Arabidopsis thaliana: one gene and its partners. The protein of the gene in region 3 interacts with the protein of the main gene of each other region in a pairwise test. Each region holds a gene or a part of one and is shown on either strand. Other genes may lie near its edges.

What was found. The genes of interacting proteins can lie anywhere in the genome.
Region 1: the proteins of AT4G34790 (region 3) and AT5G19700 interact in a protein complementation assay, tested with the Arabidopsis thaliana proteins (one large-scale study listed by BioGRID).
Region 2: the proteins of AT4G34790 (region 3) and AT1G04970 interact in a protein complementation assay, tested with the Arabidopsis thaliana proteins (one large-scale study listed by BioGRID).

What each region holds. Positions count from the first base shown.
Region 1 is NC_003076.8:6,660,178-6,664,081, reverse strand, and holds AT5G19700 (MATE efflux family protein), read left to right. Parts: upstream 1-1,618; 5' UTR 1,619-1,734; coding exon 1,735-3,261; 3' UTR 3,262-3,404; downstream 3,405-3,904. UniProt on the Arabidopsis thaliana protein: May act as a negative regulator of hypocotyl cell elongation in the light.
Region 2 is NC_003070.9:1,409,512-1,414,127, forward strand, and holds AT1G04970 (lipid-binding serum glycoprotein family protein), read left to right. Parts: upstream 1-1,576; 5' UTR 1,577-1,704; coding exon 1,705-2,112; exon of another isoform or gene 2,113-2,373; coding exon of another isoform or gene 2,374-2,403; coding exon 2,404-2,543; intron 2,544-2,648; coding exon 2,649-3,000; intron 3,001-3,144; coding exon 3,145-3,393; intron 3,394-3,505; coding exon 3,506-3,631; intron 3,632-3,728; coding exon 3,729-3,920; 3' UTR 3,921-4,116; downstream 4,117-4,616. Other genes in the region: AT1G04960 (golgin family A protein (DUF1664)), read right to left, coding at 17-118, 245-312, 441-522, 674-913; PDIL2-2 (PDI-like 2-2), read right to left, coding at 4,358-4,544.
Region 3 is NC_003075.7:16,592,477-16,595,703, reverse strand, and holds AT4G34790 (SAUR-like auxin-responsive protein family), read right to left. Parts: upstream 1,343-3,227; 5' UTR 1,166-1,342; coding exon 839-1,165; 3' UTR 551-838; downstream 1-550. Other genes in the region: AT4G34780 (SAUR-like auxin-responsive protein family), read left to right, coding at 2,987-3,227.

The DNA of each region.
Region 1 (3,904 bases), on a different chromosome or scaffold from region 3:
GATTAAGAAATTTCGCCATCGTAAATCTAGATCTTCTTCCTTTCTTCAAGAGACGTTCTTTGAGTCTCTATTTTTTTGGATGCGTTTCACCGCCTCTGTGACTTCTCGAGAGTATTATAAAGAGGGTCACACGACACTTTCATTTGGTTTTAACTTGTTATAAAGAAGATTCTTGTATTATAATCTGTTTGTGTGTTTTTCTAAGTCTCAGTTTTGTTTTAATTTGCAAGGTTTAGGTTTTGTTAATCTTTTTTTTGAATTTCCAGATTCTGATCCAGAAAGTATTAATGGATGTTGTGTAGTTTATTTGCTCGGGTTTTTTTCCCTTTGTTTACTTTGTTTGATCATTGTTTCTGGTGTTCTTGTACTCGCCGACTAATGTTTCCGGAAGTGTTCATGTACTTGCCGGCTCTTTGTAATTCACTTTAAACCTTATCAATAGAATCTTTTTGATGAAAAAGAAGAAGAAGCCATGGAGCTATTCAAACTCATCTAACCGATTGGATAAAACAGCTCATTCATAGGAGACTACGCCACCAAAACTATTTTTTTAATATGTTTCATATCCCTAACAATACATTCTTCTTGAAAAAATATTCTACATAGCTCACAATACAAAAAACTTGGTTTAGTGACATTTGACATTTACACATATGAATGGTTGCAATATGGTCATAGCACGTAAAAAATGATCATATATTGTTCAAAAATATAGATCTTAATGCATATCGATCATGTCCCTCTGGTCCAATTGGTTTTATGATTTTTTTTCCATATCAATCAATCAAAAAGGAGGATCAATTGATCTGGCCCTCTATAACTAAATTTGTTTTAACTAGAAAAACTGGACCGCTCATTCTCCTCCTCTCAAGTTCTGGTTAGCGTTTTTTGAATCATTTTCAATCACAAAGTTATTTTTAAGAAAAAATCTAGGAAATGCACAACTTTGATTAAAAAACAAAAAAAAATTATAAGATTACATCTAACTTAATAAGCAATACTTAAGAAAAAAACAAAAGTACATACCGATAAAAACACGACACGTCAAATTTTATATCTAGACATTATAATATACATATGAATTTTAGTAAAAGGTAAAACAAAATGTAAATGTTGAAAATAGTAAATTTAATTTAAAATTTTTGAAAAAAAATATTAATAAAATACATATCTAATATAGTAATTTATAAAATATCACGTGGCGTTCGGCAATATATGGCACAAAATTTTCAAGGATAAGATTTTCTAATTTCCAAACTTTTATAATAAATCTGATAAACTTGAATTAATGTTACCAGAATCCCATTTAATAAAATCAGAACTAAAATTAGGCATTTTCATAAAAGTATTGTGAAAACATACAAATTAAAGATGTTCTTATAGAAAAAAGGGATTTTTTCACTATTAAAATTAAAAAGATAATAATCTAAAACAACCTTGTAGACCCAAAAAAAAAAGATTACAAAAATGCCTAACTTCTTTAACATTTTAAGAAGTCTTATCTTCACAGCACCTTCTAAAAGAAAAGTGTTCTTTCTGTAATTAACCTTTTTTAAACATTAAAACATAAAGTCTATCCTTTTAATAAATATTTGACTTTTATCATTTGACTCCTTCGCTAAGTCCGACGTGACGGACATATAGGTAATTTGTGTATATAAACCAGAAGTGTTCTGCTGGTAATCATATCTTGTAACCATAATCGTCTTGTGTCTTTTATTTCACAGAGACAAAATGGAAACCCCAAACATCATCAGCCACACAAATCTTCTATCGAAGATAGACCTGGAAAAACAAAACCCTGCCCCCATTTTCCCGACAATCACTGAGCTTAAAAGTGAGGCTAGGTCTCTCTTCTCCTTAGCCTTCCCGACAATCCTCGCGGCCCTCATCCTCTACGCTCGCTCCGCCATCTCGATGCTCTTCCTCGGGCATATCGGTGAACTAGAGCTAGCTGGTGGCTCCCTGGCCATTGCCTTCGCTAACATCACTGGCTACTCCGTTCTAGCAGGTCTTGCACTCGGCATGGACCCACTCTGTTCGCAAGCCTTTGGAGCCGGCAGACCAAAACTCCTCTCTTTAACGCTTCAACGAACCGTACTTTTCTTACTCACAAGTTCGGTAGTAATCGTCGCTCTATGGCTCAACCTGGGGAAGATCATGATTTATCTTCATCAAGATCCAAGTATCTCATCGTTGGCCCAAACATATATCCTCTGCTCTATTCCTGATCTGCTCACCAATTCCTTTCTTCACCCTCTTCGTATATACCTTCGAGCACAAGGTATCACAAGCCCTTTAACTCTCGCAACACTCGCTGGCACCATCTTCCACATACCCATGAACTTTTTCCTCGTTTCTTACCTCGGATGGGGTTTCATGGGCGTTTCAATGGCCGCAGCCGCTTCAAATCTTCTTGTTGTCATTTTCCTTGTGGCCCATGTTTGGATCGCAGGTCTACACCAGCCAACGTGGACCCGCCCCAGCTCGGAATGTTTCAAAGATTGGGGACCAGTCGTAACCCTAGCCATACCTAGCTGCATCGGGGTATGCCTAGAGTGGTGGTGGTACGAGATAATGACCGTTCTATGTGGTTTACTCATAGACCCTAGTACTCCAGTGGCATCAATGGGCATTCTTATCCAAACGACGTCTTTGCTTTACATTTTCCCATCGTCTCTAGGGTTAGCAGTCTCCACCCGAGTTGGTAACGAACTTGGCTCAAACCGCCCAAACAAGGCTAGGTTATCAGCCATAGTGGCGGTTTCCTTTGCTGGGGTAATGGGTCTGACGGCGTCTGCGTTTGCTTGGGGCGTAAGCGATGTCTGGGGATGGATCTTCACAAACGACGTTGCTATCATCAAATTAACCGCAGCCGCGTTGCCGATTCTCGGGCTTTGCGAGCTCGGGAACTGCCCGCAAACAGTAGGTTGCGGGGTTGTTAGAGGCACTGCACGGCCGTCCATGGCAGCGAACATAAACCTAGGAGCGTTTTACCTCGTTGGAACGCCTGTAGCCGTTGGGCTAACGTTTTGGGCCGCATATGGATTTTGCGGACTTTGGGTAGGTCTTTTAGCTGCTCAGATATGTTGTGCTGCCATGATGCTATATGTCGTGGCTACTACGGACTGGGAGAAAGAAGCAATTAGAGCCAGAAAGCTAACGTGTACTGAAGGCGTTGATGTGGTAATAACAACAACGCAAACCAACGGAGACTTATCGGAACCATTAATTTACGTTGTCACTGTCGCTACTGACTGACATCGATCGGTGTTTTGAGTTGTTTTATTTTATTTTACTTAATATTTGTGGATGAATCGATCAGTTTTTTTTGGGAGGGCATTGGGAGACATTTGTATTTTTAAACGAGAAAGTTACCAAAAAGAATCTGATTCATAATTTTGATCCAAAGTAATTGTGTCCTAAGTATTTGTACTTCATGCTATTTTAGAGAATTTTCTTTTTCTATATAATCGGCTTTGATTGCTCCAGAATTCGAATTCAAGTTGTTGTGCAACATTTTCTGATGTGTTCAATTGTGTTTTCGTTGTATAAGTAGTAGATCATGACTAAACATGTGTTCACGTTATATAATGATTATGTATGTTATTCAGTTTAATTGTATATATTTTTTCATGTATAAAAAGTTATGTTTTTTAAAAATATATTTCTTTTACTTTGATTTATTAAATATAAGATCAACCTATATTTGTTGTCAAAAAAAAGCATTAGGAGGATTTGAATTCGATTACAGCCGCAAAATGTTACAGCTATTTGTGCTGGTTAGTTCTCCAGTCAGACTCTTGGTGGTATTACTGCAACTCATTAATTTTTCTATTTAAAAAAATATATGGTGAAAGAAGTTCTTTAAATTCCAGTTTTCAACACGTATGCACAAAATTTT
Region 2 (4,616 bases), on a different chromosome or scaffold from region 3:
AAAATTATTTGTTCACCGCTAATGTGTCTGACAAATCGTCTAGTTGTTTCGAAACAGAGGCAACCGCATCAGCCATATTTTTCTTTGTCACAAACATTGCATCTGAAAACGACCAGCCCTGCAATGTGGGTAAACCTTAGAAGTCAATGATATATAGTTTACCGGTAAACCACATGTTACAAAACTATAACAAAAGACACATGAAACATAGAGAAAAATAGACAGATTTTAAAGAGATAAACACCTTCCACCACATGTAGCAGTACCCCATAGCTCCAACGGCAGCCGCTGGAACCAGGTAAGATGCATAGCCTACAAGAGCAAAAGCAAAGATTATATCATTCTCTGTTTCTCATAAAAAATAAACATATTTGAAACATTTCCTACATTATCAAAAGTAGTACATAAATATTTTATGAGAAACTAAGACTTGTACATACCACTGGAGTTTGAATCTCCATTAAAGATGGTAACTGGATTGGTCATAGTTAGTTCTTTGATCTCGTTTGCAAGCTGTCGAATCTGGTTATCAAGAGACAACAAAAATTATGTCACTAAGAGGGGAGTCCAGTATTGGCCTAGTGATAAAGAGTGATGAATTATTTTCTATTCCGATTGTTTATGTTGGATCGATGAGAAAAATAAGCTTACAGAGCAAAAGAAAATGAAATACCTGAGCAGCAAGGAGTGCACCGTCATACTTAAAAGGAGTGCTTTCAACTCCTTGAGCACCATTGAGTAAGTCTTGAAGTTGGGCTATTAGGTCAGACAACCTCCCATGTCTCAATACGATCGAACCAGATACACCTTGGACATGATGAAAACAGAACCAAGTGTCATTAAAGGTCATTAAATGGAACATCCAAGCTAGAATAACTAAATCATTCTTGCTACATCCAAGCTGTATTACCATCAAAACTACACTAACGATTGAAGATTAGAAGTTCTGGACCATTTTAGCAAAGTGATCAATCAATTTGCCAAGATAAATTCAAACCCTAACTCTTCATAAAACAATTCCCTAGATTAGAGAGTCAAAGCAATACGAATCGAATTTGATTACAACAAGCAAAGATAATAAAACAAGCATCAAAGTGAGAAAGAGACCTGCGCCGAGTAGGATAAGGACCTTAGAGGTCTGAACACCGGCTTGCATCGCCATGAATTCCGGTTACAAGCTGAAAAAGATTCTCGATTAATTCTCTGTTCCGTGTCGCCAAGCCACCGCGAGAGACCAATTATGACACCCTTTTGCCCTTTAGACCTCAATTTTAGCTTTGATTTACCACAAAGATAAATACTTTTCAAAACTTATGTTCTTACCCCCGAAGCTTCCAATTTTAATCGAACTATTGTCCTTAGACACATATTAGAATATTTAACACCACTTGAGCTTATATACATATCAAACGTTAATATGTACAGTATATACAATTACATATGTATTTATACTTTTATTGCCCTATAGACCTCAGCTTTAGCTTTGATTGACCAGAAACATTAATATTTTAACAATTTATGTATTCACCCCAAACACTTCCTTTTGAATCAGATTACCCCAGAAGGCAATGCAAATCGAATGACTAAGGTTATTTTAGACATTTCTCAATAATCCAAACCATTACGCAACTTCACTGTATTAACCTGTTTTCTTCATCGAAGAAGATAGAGAGACCAAAACAAAAAAAGCTTTGAATATCCGCCATGGATGTTGGACGATGCTTTCTCTTTCTTCTATTACCAAGTTTCTTCTTCTTGCCTTCACAAACGCAGAGCACCGATTCATTCACATCGGTTCTCGTATCTCAAAACGGACTCGATTTCGTCAAAAATCTTCTAGTTAACAAAGCTATCGCGTCGATTATACCTCTCCAGATTCCCAGAATTGAGAAATCTATGAAAATCCCGTTCCTTGGAGGAATCGATGTTGTTGTCTCGAATCTCACGATATACGAGCTTGACGTTGCGTCATCTTATGTTAAGCTTGGTGAGACAGGTGTTGTCATCGTCGCTTCAGGGACGACTTGTAATTTGAGTATGAATTGGCATTATTCTTACAGTACTTGGCTTCCTCCTATTGAAATATCTGATCAGGGTATTGCATCTGTTCAGGTAATTATGATCAATTTTACTAATTCTTAGTTTTGATCATCTCAATCTTGTGAATCAATGGAAAGACAAGATTTTTCTTGCGAATCACAAATTTCTGTTCTGTTTTGTATCCTTATGTTTCGTGATTGTTATATGTCTTAGAACATAGTTGCATATGGGAATCAGAGGTGACTGTTGCTCTCTGTTTACCATTTCCATGTGTTGGTTTTAGTTGTTGCTGTGATCTGCTCATTTTTATATCTGTTTTACAAAGGGAATTTGATGAGTGCTGATTCTCGCCTTCTCGGTAAGGTTCAAGGCATGGAAATCGGGCTCTCTCTAGGCTTGAAAAGTGATGAAGGAGGCTTAAAACTTTCTCTTTCGGAATGTGGATGCCATGTGGAAGACATTACCATTGAGTTGGAAGGAGGAGCATCATGGTTTTATCAGGGGTACGAAATAATTTGCTTATTGATGATAGATCCACTCCCTCTTATTGCAAGACAGGTGTTGGTTTGTTTTTCATTTTAAACTTCATTCTCTTCTCTGCAATTCAGGATGGTTAATGCATTTAAAGACCAAATTGGGTCAAGTGTGGAAAGTACCATTGCCAAGAAACTCACGGAAGGAGTATCAGACCTTGATTCATTCCTACAAAGCCTTCCAAAGGAAATCCCAGTGGATGATAATGCTGACCTTAATGTCACTTTCACCAGTGATCCTATATTGAGAAATTCATCTATCACTTTTGAGATTGATGGCTTGTTCACCAAAGGAGAAACAAATCAAGTCTTAAAATCCTTCTTCAAAAAGTCTGTATCTTTAGTTATCTGCCCTGGAAATTCTAAAATGCTCGGAATTTCAGTTGACGAAGCTGTTTTTAACTCTGCTGCAGCTTTGTACTATAATGTAAGTTCCTAATTTCCTAATTCCTTAGGTTCCAACTAGAAAGAATGCTCTTGATAAAACTGTTCTATATGTTTCCGATACATCAATATTACTGTTTTCCACCGTTGTTTCTAATATGAGGATGTTCACTCTTGCCATATTCAGGCAGACTTTGTGCAATGGGTTGTGGATAAAATACCAGAGCAGTCTCTTTTAAACACTGCTAGGTGGAGGTTCATCATTCCACAACTATACAAGAAATACCCGAACCAGGATATGAATCTGAACATCAGTTTGTCCTCACCTCCGCTTGTAAAGATATCAGAGCAATACGTTGGAGCTAATGTTAATGCAGACCTAGTAATCAATGTTCTAGATGCAAACCAAGTAATACCTGTAGCTTGCATCTCCTTGGTGAGTCCTCCAATGACAATGCTCCATATCTTTTGTTTTAGTTACTTACTATAAGCAAATTTGCAGTGATGTCGGTTTACCAATAGATGATTCACTGTTTCCTTGGCTGCAGATGATCCGGGGATCTGGTGCTCTCAGAGTCATGGGCAATAACCTTGGAGGCAGCGTAAGTTTAGAAGATTTCTCCATGTCTTTGAAATGGAGCAACATTGGAAATCTCCATCTGCATCTTCTTCAGGTAAAACCATCATGTCAAGTGTTTAAAGCACTCGCATGTTTGTTTCTTTCATTCTTAGCATTCACACGTGTTTCTTTATCTTGTTCCGATCTTCTAGCCAATAGTGTGGACTGTTATACAAACAGTGTTTGTGCCATATGCAAATGACCACCTAGAAAAGGGATTCCCGTTGCCCATAATGCACGGATTCACACTTCAGAATGCGGAAATCATCTGCTCAGAATCTGAAATCACAGTTTGCAGCGATGTCGCCTACTTGGATTCGTCCCAACAGCCTCAATGGCTTTGAAGCTACCACGATCTACGACTTGGAAACCTAACTCGTTGTAGTTTACAATTGGTGGTTGTAAGTGTCGCTACTGGTTTGGCATTTGGACCAGACTCAGCGACCAAAACGAACAAAGCTTTGTATAATACTTTTGTACTTAATGTTGACTAATCTGTGAATGATATTTCTGTCTGAAATAAAATAGTCTTTGTAATTACTGTGGTATGAAAATAGGCTATGGTAAATAATATGTCGACGAATTAGTTGGTCAAGTGGTTAGACTGTTAGCCAGCTTGTTCAACTTCATATAAAAGTCGAAAAATTCACCAAATTCTGTATATGGAATCTAAAAGTGTATACTCTGTTCTAACTCTTTGAAATGATATCATTGTCCTTGAGTGGGACACTTTAAGTCTTTCAAGAAACCAAAACCCTTATCAATGAGGTAAAAGAGAAGTTCACAAGTCGTCCTTGGACTCAGTGGAGGCTTCATCATCATTTCCCATGAGGTCTTCAAGTGAGAATTCATCTGCATCAACCACCTCTCCATCTTTACCATCCCAAGCTTCTGTCTTCACTATCTCCATAGTTCCGTCTATAGGCAAATTCCCTTTTCCTCCTTTCGCAGCCTCCTTAACGAAATCTCTGATAACACAAATAAGAAAAATACCCGTTGAGCTAATAAGATGCATGGACCATTGGTTTCGTCATATAGGA
Region 3 (3,227 bases):
TAACGGAGAGTAACATGAGCTTGACAATCTAAATATGCAATAATTTGGATATGATTTATTTCATTTATTGTGACAAAGTTCACTATGATAAAATTGTGCAGTACTGTTTCAATCATTTTCAATAAATATGATTTATGCATTTGAAGAACATATATAGATCATACTAATGTTATTAATCACTTATTCACTTACAACCCATTTTAGTTTCTTCAGAGTGCATGTGATCCACCATCCTTTAAAATACTTTCAATTCCTTGAAAAAGTCCTTTTTTTTTTTTTTTGAGATACTATATTTATGATGTAAGTCAGAGCTGGGTATATAAAATACAAAACAAATGAAAACTTATAATTGAGATTTCCATTATGTGAAAATTTTCTGTTTTTATTATATGATGCTTTTCTAAACGCTAATGTAATAGATAGTAAAATAACGTCTAGGCATGTCACATGTTGCAGGAGATCATCAAATGATGATTTACTGTGTGATAATTTCAAAAAAATTCTCATCTTTGTAAGATGGATTTTTCAACCATTAGATATATATAATAATTTGTTTTTTTACCGCATTTAAAGTTTCGTTTATTTTCCACCATTTTTACTGTAAAAGACTAAAAGTTAAAAGCTTTTAATGATTTGAATATAAATTTTAGCTCAACTAGCTTTTCAAATCTTATTTAAAAAAAAAAAAAAAAAACTTATTTCAAAATACAACTTAAGCTCTGAACAAGTGTCACCATATACACACATAAGTAACTTCCCTATAATTCTCCTCTTAAAAGAGGAAAGAAAAACAGCTTAATTAAATCCCTCAAGACTATTACATCACTTAATGCGTTCCTCAATGCAGCTGATGAGAAGTAATGAGATAAAGAAACGACTCTTCTCGACAAGGTATCGTCAAGCCACCCATAGAGTGATGAAATCCGCATTCTTCCTCAGCGCGATTAAGAAATTCTCTGAACAAAGGATGGTTCAAGTATGATATTGGAACCACAAACCTCTTCTTCTCCATTTGTTCTCCAACGTAAACCGCTACGTGACCTTTCGGAACAAGCCCTGAAGTTGTTGTTGTTGTTGATGGTGAGGATGATCCGTTCTTGTTCCTCATAGATTGTGATTTGAAGATTTGCTTTGCATTTGGAAGCATCGACCTCATTAAACCCATGTCTTCTTATTTATGTTTGGAACTTATCAATTTGTTTAGGTAAATTTTTTTAAAAAGTAAATGACTTGATAGACAACGAGGGGAAGAAGTTTCTATTTATAGTAGTGAACTTAAAGTATGTAACTTCAAGATAAGGAAAAGACTTTCAATGCTAAAAAAACAGTACGATGCGATATTTTGATTACTAAAAAAAAAAAAAAAAAGTTGTGGGCTGTTGGGCCCTCCCGTCATCCATCTGGCTCACATGGCTTAGCTCATCTTTATATAAAAATAAAATGCACATAACATAAGTTTCTTGTATATGATTGCAAATATATATAAAAAGTTAGGTATTTATATTAAATTAGAGCCTCGAAATGGTGAATAATGTGACTTGGATCAGACTAAGTGGGTCCAGTTCTTGAGCCACTTTTAGCAATATTGGAGATTGTTATAGTTGAAAGAGTATGTATAATAAGTTCCAAAGTCTTTTAAAGTATATTTTCCTTCGCTCTCAAACTAGGGGCCGTACTGCTGGGACGAAAGATGAGTAACGAGATGGTTTTCCATATATAATTTTGAAATAACAAATCTTTTAGTATTATATTAAAATATGTGTGATGTATTTGTTTGTTAAATTTTCAGCTCCATAGATAGTTTTGATCAATTTATTTGCCATTAGATAAGATCTGAATCTCGCATCTTTGCATGTGATTATGAGGATGATTGTGACTGTGGCTAGACTGAAATTTGAACAAACAACATAGTACTGTTTAGTGATCGATATAGATCGAAAACAAAATCCCCATAGATCTATAGCTATTTGCTGCCTATGGCCTACTATCCCTTTTTTCTCTTATCTTTTTGATTGTGTAGATGCATGTTCTTCGCATTTAGGCCTAAAATAGTTGCTTGACATAGATAGATGGTTTAGTGTTTGGGAAGAGAAGAGTTGCAGAGAGAAATTGAACATAACAAATATTAGGCTTGTGTAATCACGCGATCAACGCATGAGTGATCTAAACAAGTTTTTTGTGTTTATCTTAAATATAATGAGTATTTTTTTAAACAATCATTTGTTTTATACAATTTTTCAAAAATGAGACAATTTTAATTTAATTTACTACTGCTTTTTACTGAAAAAAAATCATGCACTAATTAAGACTTCACATTATATTGTTTCTGTTGAGTGAAAGGAAGTTCAATTAGTGAGTTTCAAGTGTCTGCGAATGCAAAAATTCTCCACAAATATCTATTTAAACATAAAAATGTATTTTTATAAGGAAAATTTATACAGTATATCCATTTAAGATCTTAATCATATATAATATTCAGAGTTCACCTTAATCTGATACCATTTTTGCGGCCCGCACTAATACAGTTGGTAGATTCTAAAATTTTAAGGAAACATATATAAATGAAGATTAGCTAATACTCTAATTGATGTATTCATAAATATTTATGAGTTTCATCTTAAATTAGATAACTTTTTTTTTTTGTGAAGTCTTATATTGTTTGCAAATTTTAAGTTGAAAAAAAAAAATATAATGAGAAAATGTGATAGATTCATTTTAAAAATTAAGATAGAAGATAATATTTTTAATTCTTAAAGTTAGAGAAAAAAATACAAATTTTATCACAATATGTATTTTAGATGCTACATATCCATTATTTATTTCATTTACTATTTTATATGTTACAAAATCCTTTAATATTTATAACAATGAATTACTACTCCTAAAAGCAACAAACCTTCACCCCTATAAAATTGATAAAGCCACAAAGTCTACGCATGTATCTTCGTTCAAGCTATACAAAAGTCAGTTCATTTGAAAGATAGATATGATTCGATTCAAGACTATAGTTTTTCAAGTCAAGAGAGTACTCGATAAAAAGATATCGCGTTTAAGACACATAATCAACGTACGAAAGGGTCACTTTGCGGTATATGTTGGAGAAGACGAGATGGAGACGAAGAGATTTGTGGTTCCAATATCTTACTTAAACCATCCTTTGTTCCAAGCCTTGTTGCGTAAAGCCGAAGATGAATTTGGCACAGATCATCAGAGGACATACCTCACAA